2 linked regions of the Canis lupus familiaris genome follow. The protein of the gene in region 2 purifies or fractionates together with the protein of the main gene of each other region. This does not show direct contact. Links are inferred from orthologs where the notes say so. Each region holds a gene or a part of one and is shown on either strand. Other genes may lie near its edges.

The links.
Region 1: the proteins of APOB (region 2) and VCP purify together in Homo sapiens (affinity purification with western blotting, with the first as the bait; 3 studies listed by BioGRID). This does not show direct contact. The link is inferred for Canis lupus familiaris from reciprocal best matches to the Homo sapiens genes APOB and VCP.

The regions. Positions count from the first base shown.
Region 1 is NC_049232.1:51,941,494-51,945,301, forward strand, and holds part of VCP (transitional endoplasmic reticulum ATPase), read right to left. Parts: intron 2,819-3,808; coding exon 2,707-2,818; intron 2,518-2,706; coding exon 2,345-2,517; intron 976-2,344; coding exon 833-975; intron 287-832; coding exon 156-286; intron 1-155. UniProt on the Homo sapiens protein: Necessary for the fragmentation of Golgi stacks during mitosis and for their reassembly after mitosis. Involved in the formation of the transitional endoplasmic reticulum (tER).
Region 2 is NC_049238.1:15,957,593-15,961,841, forward strand, and holds the start of APOB (apolipoprotein B-100), read right to left. Parts: upstream 3,022-4,249; 5' UTR 3,011-3,021; coding exon 2,944-3,010; intron 2,707-2,943; coding exon 2,668-2,706; intron 1,379-2,667; coding exon 1,263-1,378; intron 255-1,262; coding exon 109-254; intron 1-108. UniProt on the Homo sapiens protein: Apolipoprotein B is a major protein constituent of chylomicrons (apo B-48), LDL (apo B-100) and VLDL (apo B-100). Apo B-100 functions as a recognition signal for the cellular binding and internalization of LDL particles by the apoB/E receptor.

The sequences.
Region 1 (3,808 bases), on a different chromosome or scaffold from region 2:
CTGAGATTATGACCGGAGTTGAAATCAAGAGTCAGATGCTTAACCAACTGAGCCACCCAGGTGCCCCCAAAGAGCACTCACAGTTAGTAGTTACCATATGACCGCCCCACTTTGTAATCATGAAATTGGGTACTGGGATAAAGGAGAGAACTCACCTCTCGTTTGATAGGCTCCCCTTCACAGTGGATCACTGTGTCTGGGGCAACAATGCAGTAAGGACTGGGATCTGTCTCCACTACTTTGAACTCTACAGCACGCATTCCACCCCGGACAAGGAAAATGTCTCCTGTGAGAGTAATTAGCACAAGTGCAGTCAGAGATGTCAAATACCAGAGCAAGTGAGAGTTCCTCACCAGAACCTGTTGTCTAAAATGCCAAGTTCACTAGATACTGCCCCTTTCCCCTTCCCACCTCTACCTTATTAAGCATCAGGCAAGAGGAGAAAGCTAAACTGTGAAGTGTCCCTCTGCCATTCAAGAGGACACTGAACAAAATCTTATGGGCTATAGGTAACCAAGCTTTCACAACAACCACAGATGATCAGACTGTGCTAAATATTAAATACACTTTGGACTGTGACACAGCCAAAAAGTGCCCAAGTCCTCCTTCTGGGACAAAGGAGAAGAGAGCTTACTCTACTGAAGCAGGGAATGATAGTAGGGAAATGGAGGAGTGGGAAGGAGGAGGAAGGAAGGAGAGTACACATGAGCGTGTATGCAGAATGTGTGTGTAAGCACACATATGAGAATGAGATAAAGACATTCCAAGATTTACTCCCAGGTATCCCTACAAACAACTATCCTTAAGCTCAGTCTTTAGAATTATCTCTCACCTTTCCGGATGGGTCGATAAGCTTCCAGGAAGTATGGCTTAAGGTATACCTCGAAGAGATTGCCAGTGATGCCTTCCACCGTGTCATCGATGGGTAGCACGTGGATACGTTTGCCGTACTTCACATCAGGACACGGCTGGATGCTGAGGATGACAAGCAGACTCCACATTACCAACCACAATGTAGCCCCAAACACTGGGCGTCTGAAAGTGCCTGGCACAGAGAGCTGACGGCAAGTAAAAGAAAAAAGGTAGGGATGGCTTTAGGTGAAGAGAGGAAGGAGGGCAGAGTGAGAGTGAGGACAAAAGAGCAGCCAAACAGAACTAAGACCAAGTCATACTTGGGGGAAGGGCAGTAGTAGGAGCCATTAGAAGAAGCTACAAATTTACATTAAAATTTTATTTTTTTTAGGTAAATTTAAAGTTGAACTAAAATGGGGCTGCTCACTCCCAATCAGTGAGCCAAAAGGAAGACCCACACATGTAAAGCCCCCAAAATGAAGAAATAGGAGCAAGGATCTTCAGTGAGAGATATCCAAAGATGACCCATTTGGCTAATATTAGTAACCCAAAATTACGGAGGCCGTAGTGGGACAAGTATCAGGATCAAAAAAATAAAACTGAAAAAAAAAAAAAAAAAAAAAGTCATCTCAGCCAGGTGGTCAGAGAAACTTGACGTGATTAAGCACCTCCAGAAGGCTACATGAAATCTAGAATCCATTAAAAATAATCAGAAGTCTGAGATGTTCCTGGCCAGTCTCAGATGTTCCTGACAGGGGGTTGGATAGCTGTGGCTAGTGATGACTCCAAGATGGGAAAGCTTCTTGCCTAAAGTTAAGTTTAAAATCTCTCAGATTGGGGATCCCTAGGTGTCCCAGTGATTAAGCTCCTGCCTTCTGCCTGGGGCAGGATCCTAGAGTCCCAGAATTGAGCCCCACATCGAGCTCCCTGCATGGAGCATGTTTCTCCCTTTGCCTGTGTCTGTGCCTCTCTCTCTCTCTCATGAATAAAATCTTTAAAAAAAAAAAAATCACTCAGATAGAAGCTGAAGCTATTCAGGGTCTGACTCAAACTATGCTTCTATTCTATATTAACTTTGATCCATAAAAAAACCCTAATCGGAAATTCGCCTTCTATGCCCACACTCCTACCTCATTCTGGTCCCAACACAAGCCATTATTTCAACATAACAGTGAGATTGTTTCATAGACACTCTCAAATGGTATCCTAAACCAGCGTTCAGCATGTTATAAATCATACCTCTGGCAAAAAAAATAAGTAAAGGTATCACAGAAGTCACAGAAATGCAACTTGTCCCAAGGGTCATGCAGAAGTAAATTCTGAAGTCTCAGGGAGGCAGAATCAAAACCTAAAGATAGCCCTGCTATATTAAGTCTTCCCATGGCTAGAAGGATTCTGCTATGGGTAGCTGCCAAGAACTTCATTAGTCCTGTCTATAATTCAGGCTGTCTCTGGCCTCCCATCCCTGAGGGGCTAAGAACCCCACACACACCTGATTACATCCCCTAGATGTACGCGAAGGTTATTCCGAACAACTCTATTCATTCGAATCTTCTCATCGGAACATGTGTCATCAGAAAGCACAATGCACACAGCTTCCCGCCTCTTCTTTCCTTTCAGCAATACTGTGTCACCTCGGAACAACTGCAGTTCATCCATCTTGGGCTGAGAAAAGAAGGTTAAGGCCTTTGGGTCACTGGGCCAAGGGGTAGGCAGCAGCCCTGGAGGCTGGAATTCCCAGTAAACCCCACTCTATCTGTGGTCACTGCAAAAAAAAAAAATGAGGAAAGAAACCTGGGAAAAGTCCTCAGGTTAAGTGCAATAAGGAAAGACTGAACCTTTGACCCAACTTACCTGGGACAAGGACACCACACTGTTGTCCTCATTGATGGCTTCATCGACAATTAACCGATTGGGACGATTCTTCTGTTTAAGAATGGCTGTTGATAAGTCATCACCTTTTGAACTAAAAAGAGAAAATGAATTTAGTCCCAATACATACTCCAGTCCCAGGGACCCCACCAGTCTTTAAAATTCACACTTACGAAAGAAATAGTGGATATATGAAGCTGTCCCTATGCCAGAGAGGTCAGATAAAGGATATTCAGCCACGGTCACGAAGAGTAACATTTAGCACATACAATTCCCATTCCAGCATCTCTTAGTATTCTGAGCACTGGTATCCTAGCTGTTAAGGCCCCAAGTGATCTTGCCCCAGAGTCAGGAAACTATGGCCTGAGAAGACTAAATAGAGGTAGAGGCTGAGTAGGACACCCAGGTGGCTCAGGGGTTGAGCATCTGCCTTCAGCTCAAGTCATGGTCCTGGGGTCCTGGGATCGGGGTTCTGGGATCGAGTCCTGCATCAGGCTCCCCACAGGGAGCCTGCTTCTCCCTCTGCCTGTGTCTCTGCCTCTCTCTGTGCCCCTCATGAATAAATTTTTTTTTTTAAAGTAGAGGCTAAGTAACAATTAGAGAAATGACAATAATCTTAGTATGAAAGAAACAGTGATTAGGAGAAGGGGCTATGCAGTCAGACCTGCTGGGTCTGAATCCCAACCCTGCCACTGTTTAATTGTCATCTTGAGCAAGTTACTTAACTTCTCTGGATGATGATGTCCTCATCTGAAAAGAAGCAAATACAGTAGTACCTATCTTAAAGAATTATCTTAAGTGAGATAATGAATGCAACAATGCCTGGCACATGGTATTAATGGTCACAATGATTACCACTGCAGAAGAAAGCATAAACTCTTCTTTGCTAACCTTCTTGGAGAATGAAGTGAGCAAGACAACTTCCTGTAGGACTCAGGGAGGCCCCAAGTCCCACCAAGCCTGGGGACAATGAAGTAGAATCATTAGCACTACCATCCTTACTGGCTAAACCTGCTAAATTCCAGAGCATTCTATATACCACAGAAATGCCAAGCACAAAGACTATGACATTTGGGGAAAACTA
Region 2 (4,249 bases):
TGGGTGCACGTGCACATGTGCACAAGTGCACACGCACATGCGCACACACATGCACAACACATCCAGTGATTCCCAGAGCTCAGAAGGTTACACAGGCCCACGCCTTACTTGGACATGGCGGCGGCAAACTCCTCAGAGTTCTTGGTCTTATGCAGGGAGGGCCTGCCCTTTGGGTTGAAGCCATTCCCCTCCTTCAGGGTACACTGGCTTGTCCTGACGATGAAGTTGCAGAGCTGAGGGACCTCCAGCTCAACCTGGGAAGAGGGTAGCAGTACATGAAGACCGTCCCTCAAGAACAGGAGACCCCTCACAGCCCAAGGCTTACTCCCTAATCAGGACACCAAAGGAAATACAGTTGGGGACCACTGGTTAGACGGAATGCAGTCTAGGAGCTAGAGGAAGAACAACGGGAAGCAGGAAGAAGGCTATCATTGGTTTCAACAGCAAATGTCTCCTTCATGTCACCAAACAACCCAACCAATCCAACTGTCTGTAACTATTGGGGCCTATTCAGAGCTTCATGTATTGCAGGAGCTTATGGAGATCCCTAGTGGTTATCTAACACTGTTCAGGAACTTTCTGCAAAAACTGAAATCTTCTACATTTGCCCTGTCTGATATGAGAGTCATTAGCCATGGGCACTTGAAATGTGGCTGGTATGATCAAGAAGCTGAATTTTAAGTTTTACTCAATTGAAATAGCCACATGTGGTCAATGGCTACCTCATTTAACATAGACTATGGGGCCCTAGAAAGAAGAGGTCAGTTTCCCAGCTTGACTTCTCTTTCCCACATGACCCCCAGTAGTGGCCCTTAGATCCATCCCTTATGAACATGCACGTGAGTACAATCATTCCAGCAATAGATAAAGTTTTATTTGAGAACAAACTACATATTTAAATTTTTCTTTCTTTCTTTTTTTTTCTTCTGTTTGGCTGCAAATATAAACACTGCACCCCAGAATGCTTTCCTGAGATGCCCATCTCCCTTGGCTTACCACCCATTGTGTTTCTCTCATCTTGTTAAATCTACCGTTCTACAATGCTGATATTTTAGATCATGTATTCCAGTTACATCTTGGAAGCTAATGGAAAAATAAATCTGGCTGGCAAAATTTTTTGTAGCAGAAAACTCAGCAGAGTGGCTAACTTTCAAACGTAGGGACAGTTCCTTGCTTTGTGATTATAGCAGTCCTGCTGTGACCTGGGTTTGCAAGGCCAGAAGCCCCAGCTTCCTTTAGTGGCTCTTCCTCTCCCCTCATACCTTGCAGTTGATCCTGGTGGCACTTCTTGAATCAGTGGTCCCAGGGATACTGCTGGAACTCTCAGCCTCATAGTTGTATACATACTTCCTGAGGTGCTTGAAGCGAGTTGCACCTTCTAAAATGGGGACAAATAAGTCAGCTACATAGCAGATAACTCCCCCAAGGATAGTCTATTCTAGGAAGCGAGGGGTAGTGACAAAGACCATAAAAAGTGGTAACTAAACTCCAATTGTTATTGTCATTACTTTAAAAAGATTTTATTTATTCATGAGAGACAGAGAGGCAGAGACATAAGCAGAGGGAGAAGCAGGCTCCCTGCGGGGACCCCGATGTGGGACTCGATCCCAGGACCCCAGGATCACGACCTGAGCTGAAGGCAGATGCTTAACTACTGAGCCACTCAGGTGTCACTCCAATTATTATTTCTAAAAAAAATTTTTTCCCAATTATTTTTAATTGACTTTGCACTATCCTTAATTTCCCTTTACAGATTTAACTTCTCCGCTATGGTTTGTTGAGGATGTTTAAATTTGCCAGTAATTTTTGAATGTATCATGGGGTGCAAGGAGGGGAGTGGTAAACAGTGGAGCCCAGAAAGTCTATGGAGAGACGGTGGATTAACAGTTGGCCTCGTAAAGCAAATACCTCTAACACCTGTTCCGCTCGAAAATACCACGATTCTGTGGCTCCTTTTTTTTTTTTTTTTGGTTCTACCAAATCCCTGAGGCGAGGTTCATTAAGTTTTCGGGGTAGCTGACTGTCTTAAGAAAAATTCCGAGAAGGAATTTCCGGAGTTTCTCACCGTGCTTGAGAATTTGTCGAACAGTTTGAGGAAAAAAAAGAAAAAAAAAAAAAGAACATTTGGGGCCCGAGCACCGGTGCAGTGACGCCAGACGGCCACGCGATGGCAGTGCTGCCCCACCAGAGGCCACGGCCTCCCGCTCTCAGGACACTGGGTACCACCAGACGGCCGGCTCCTTGACCCGTGGAGGTCAGGTAAATACTTAGGAGCGGGGTCTGGATTTGTGCGCAAAGGTTAAAGTCAGCATTTCCTCACCCTCATGTGCTTCGAATCAATGATTAGCCACGGATAAACAGACGGTAACGTGATGTCTCTTTAAAGTGTCCCTGGGCCCACTGGATGACAGTCCCTTCCCTACCCTGCCCCCAGGCCAAGCTCTAGGGACTGAACATTAATGCAGGGAGAAGAGAGTCGAGATCCCCGGGGGGTGGGCAGAGTCTCAGGGGACTGGCCTCTTGGGGCTCAGAGGGGTGCACACTCATCAGACCATCGCGGCGCCCGCGGGCGGGAGGAGGGCGGGGGCCGGGGCCGGGCCGGGCCGGGCCGGGCCGGGCCGGGGCGGGGGCGGGGGCGCCCTCCCAGCGCGGCGGGAAGGGCCTTACTTGCGCAGCCGGGGCTCGCACTCTCCGGCACCTCGTCTTCTGCAAGAAAAGGGGAAAGGGCGCGTGGGCTTCCCGCGTCTCCCCGCGGGCCCAGGGTCTCCCGGGGCGGGGAGGGCGCCGCGGAGGGCGGGCACCTGGCGCTCTGCAGGGAAGGCGGTTCCGGGGGGCCGGGCCGCGGGGCGTCCACCCCCACCCCCCGGGGCTCAGCGCCCCCCCCAGGCTCAGCGCCCCCCAGGCTCAGCCCCCCGCCCCCCGGGCTCAGCGCCCCGCACTCACGAGCCCAGGCGCGGGGGGCGGCCAGCAGCAGAGGCAGCAGCAGCAGCGCGGGCCCGGGCCGGCCCATGCCGACGGGGGGCTCGGGGGGCGCCGGGGGCGCGGGGGCGGCTGGCCGGACGGCTCGCGGGAGGCTCAGGGGCCGCACCCGCAGGCGGCCGCCCCGCACGAGGAGGGAATGCGCCGCCCGCGCCCGCGCCCGCTTTATACCAGGCCGCCCGGGGCGCAGCGCCCGGCTCGGGGCGCGCAGGCCAGTTGCAAAAGGTCCAAAGGGCAGCCGGCTGTTTGCTTTTGCAGCTCGAGGAGGGGCCGGCGAGGGGGCGAGCGCGGGCCGCCAGGCCGTGGGGGCGCCCGGAGCCCCGCCCGCGGAGGCTGGGGCCGGGGGGCCCCCCGAGGTGCCCGCGCACCCCACGGCACCCGCACCGCCGCTCCCCTCCGCCTTTGTAGCCGTTTCCAGAACCGGCCCTTAACAGCCGCTCGGTTGAGACCTTTTCCGTTCTGTTCGGGTCTGGGGGACTGTGGGGTGGGAGGGGCCCCCACCCCTCACCCCTCACCCCTCGCCGGGATGGCGCCCCTGGCCTGGGGTCGCGGCCTGCACGCCCGCCCGCCCGGAGGGAGCAGAGGGGCACTGGCTGGGGGTCCTGGACCAGTCCCAGGCCCGGCCGAGCCGAGCGCCCACATGGTCCACATGGTCCACATGGTCCACATGGTCAGGAAACCCCAGCGAGGTGCCCCTCCCCCGTCATCGTGGGAAACTGGGGAGAGGAGGCCTTTCTCTGCCTGCCCCAGCTCCTGGGTTGCGTCCAGGAACGGGAGGACGGTGGGGGCCGCCGCGTGGTGCATGGACACCTGGACACCGCATGCTCCTCCGCAACAGCCAGGGCCTCCTCCACACTCCACAGACCCCCCCTTCCTCTACGGGGGACATTTGCCAAGCACCCCTCCCCCCCCCAGCTGTGGGGAATCCCGCACAGCGCAGACATTGCAGCTTCATTGACTTTACTGACCCAGTGGCCGTCCAGAGTGTGAGAGATGGGACGGAGCCACATCCGGCACTGGCCTGTCGCCAGGCACCTCCAGTCTGCCTGGTGACAGATGCCATAGACAGGAAGCTGCAGGCAGGCATCGAAGGTAGGCCTCGGGAGTGCTAACGGGGTGAGGTGTTACAGCAACTGCTGGAGAGGTCCAGGGCAGGGGTGGGGTGCGGAGCCCCGAGCAGGGGTGCAGGGCAGGGGCGAGGAGCCCCCAGTGATGAAGAGGGGACGGCGACTACCCGATGTACAAAAACGCCTATTGCACAGGCCAGTGC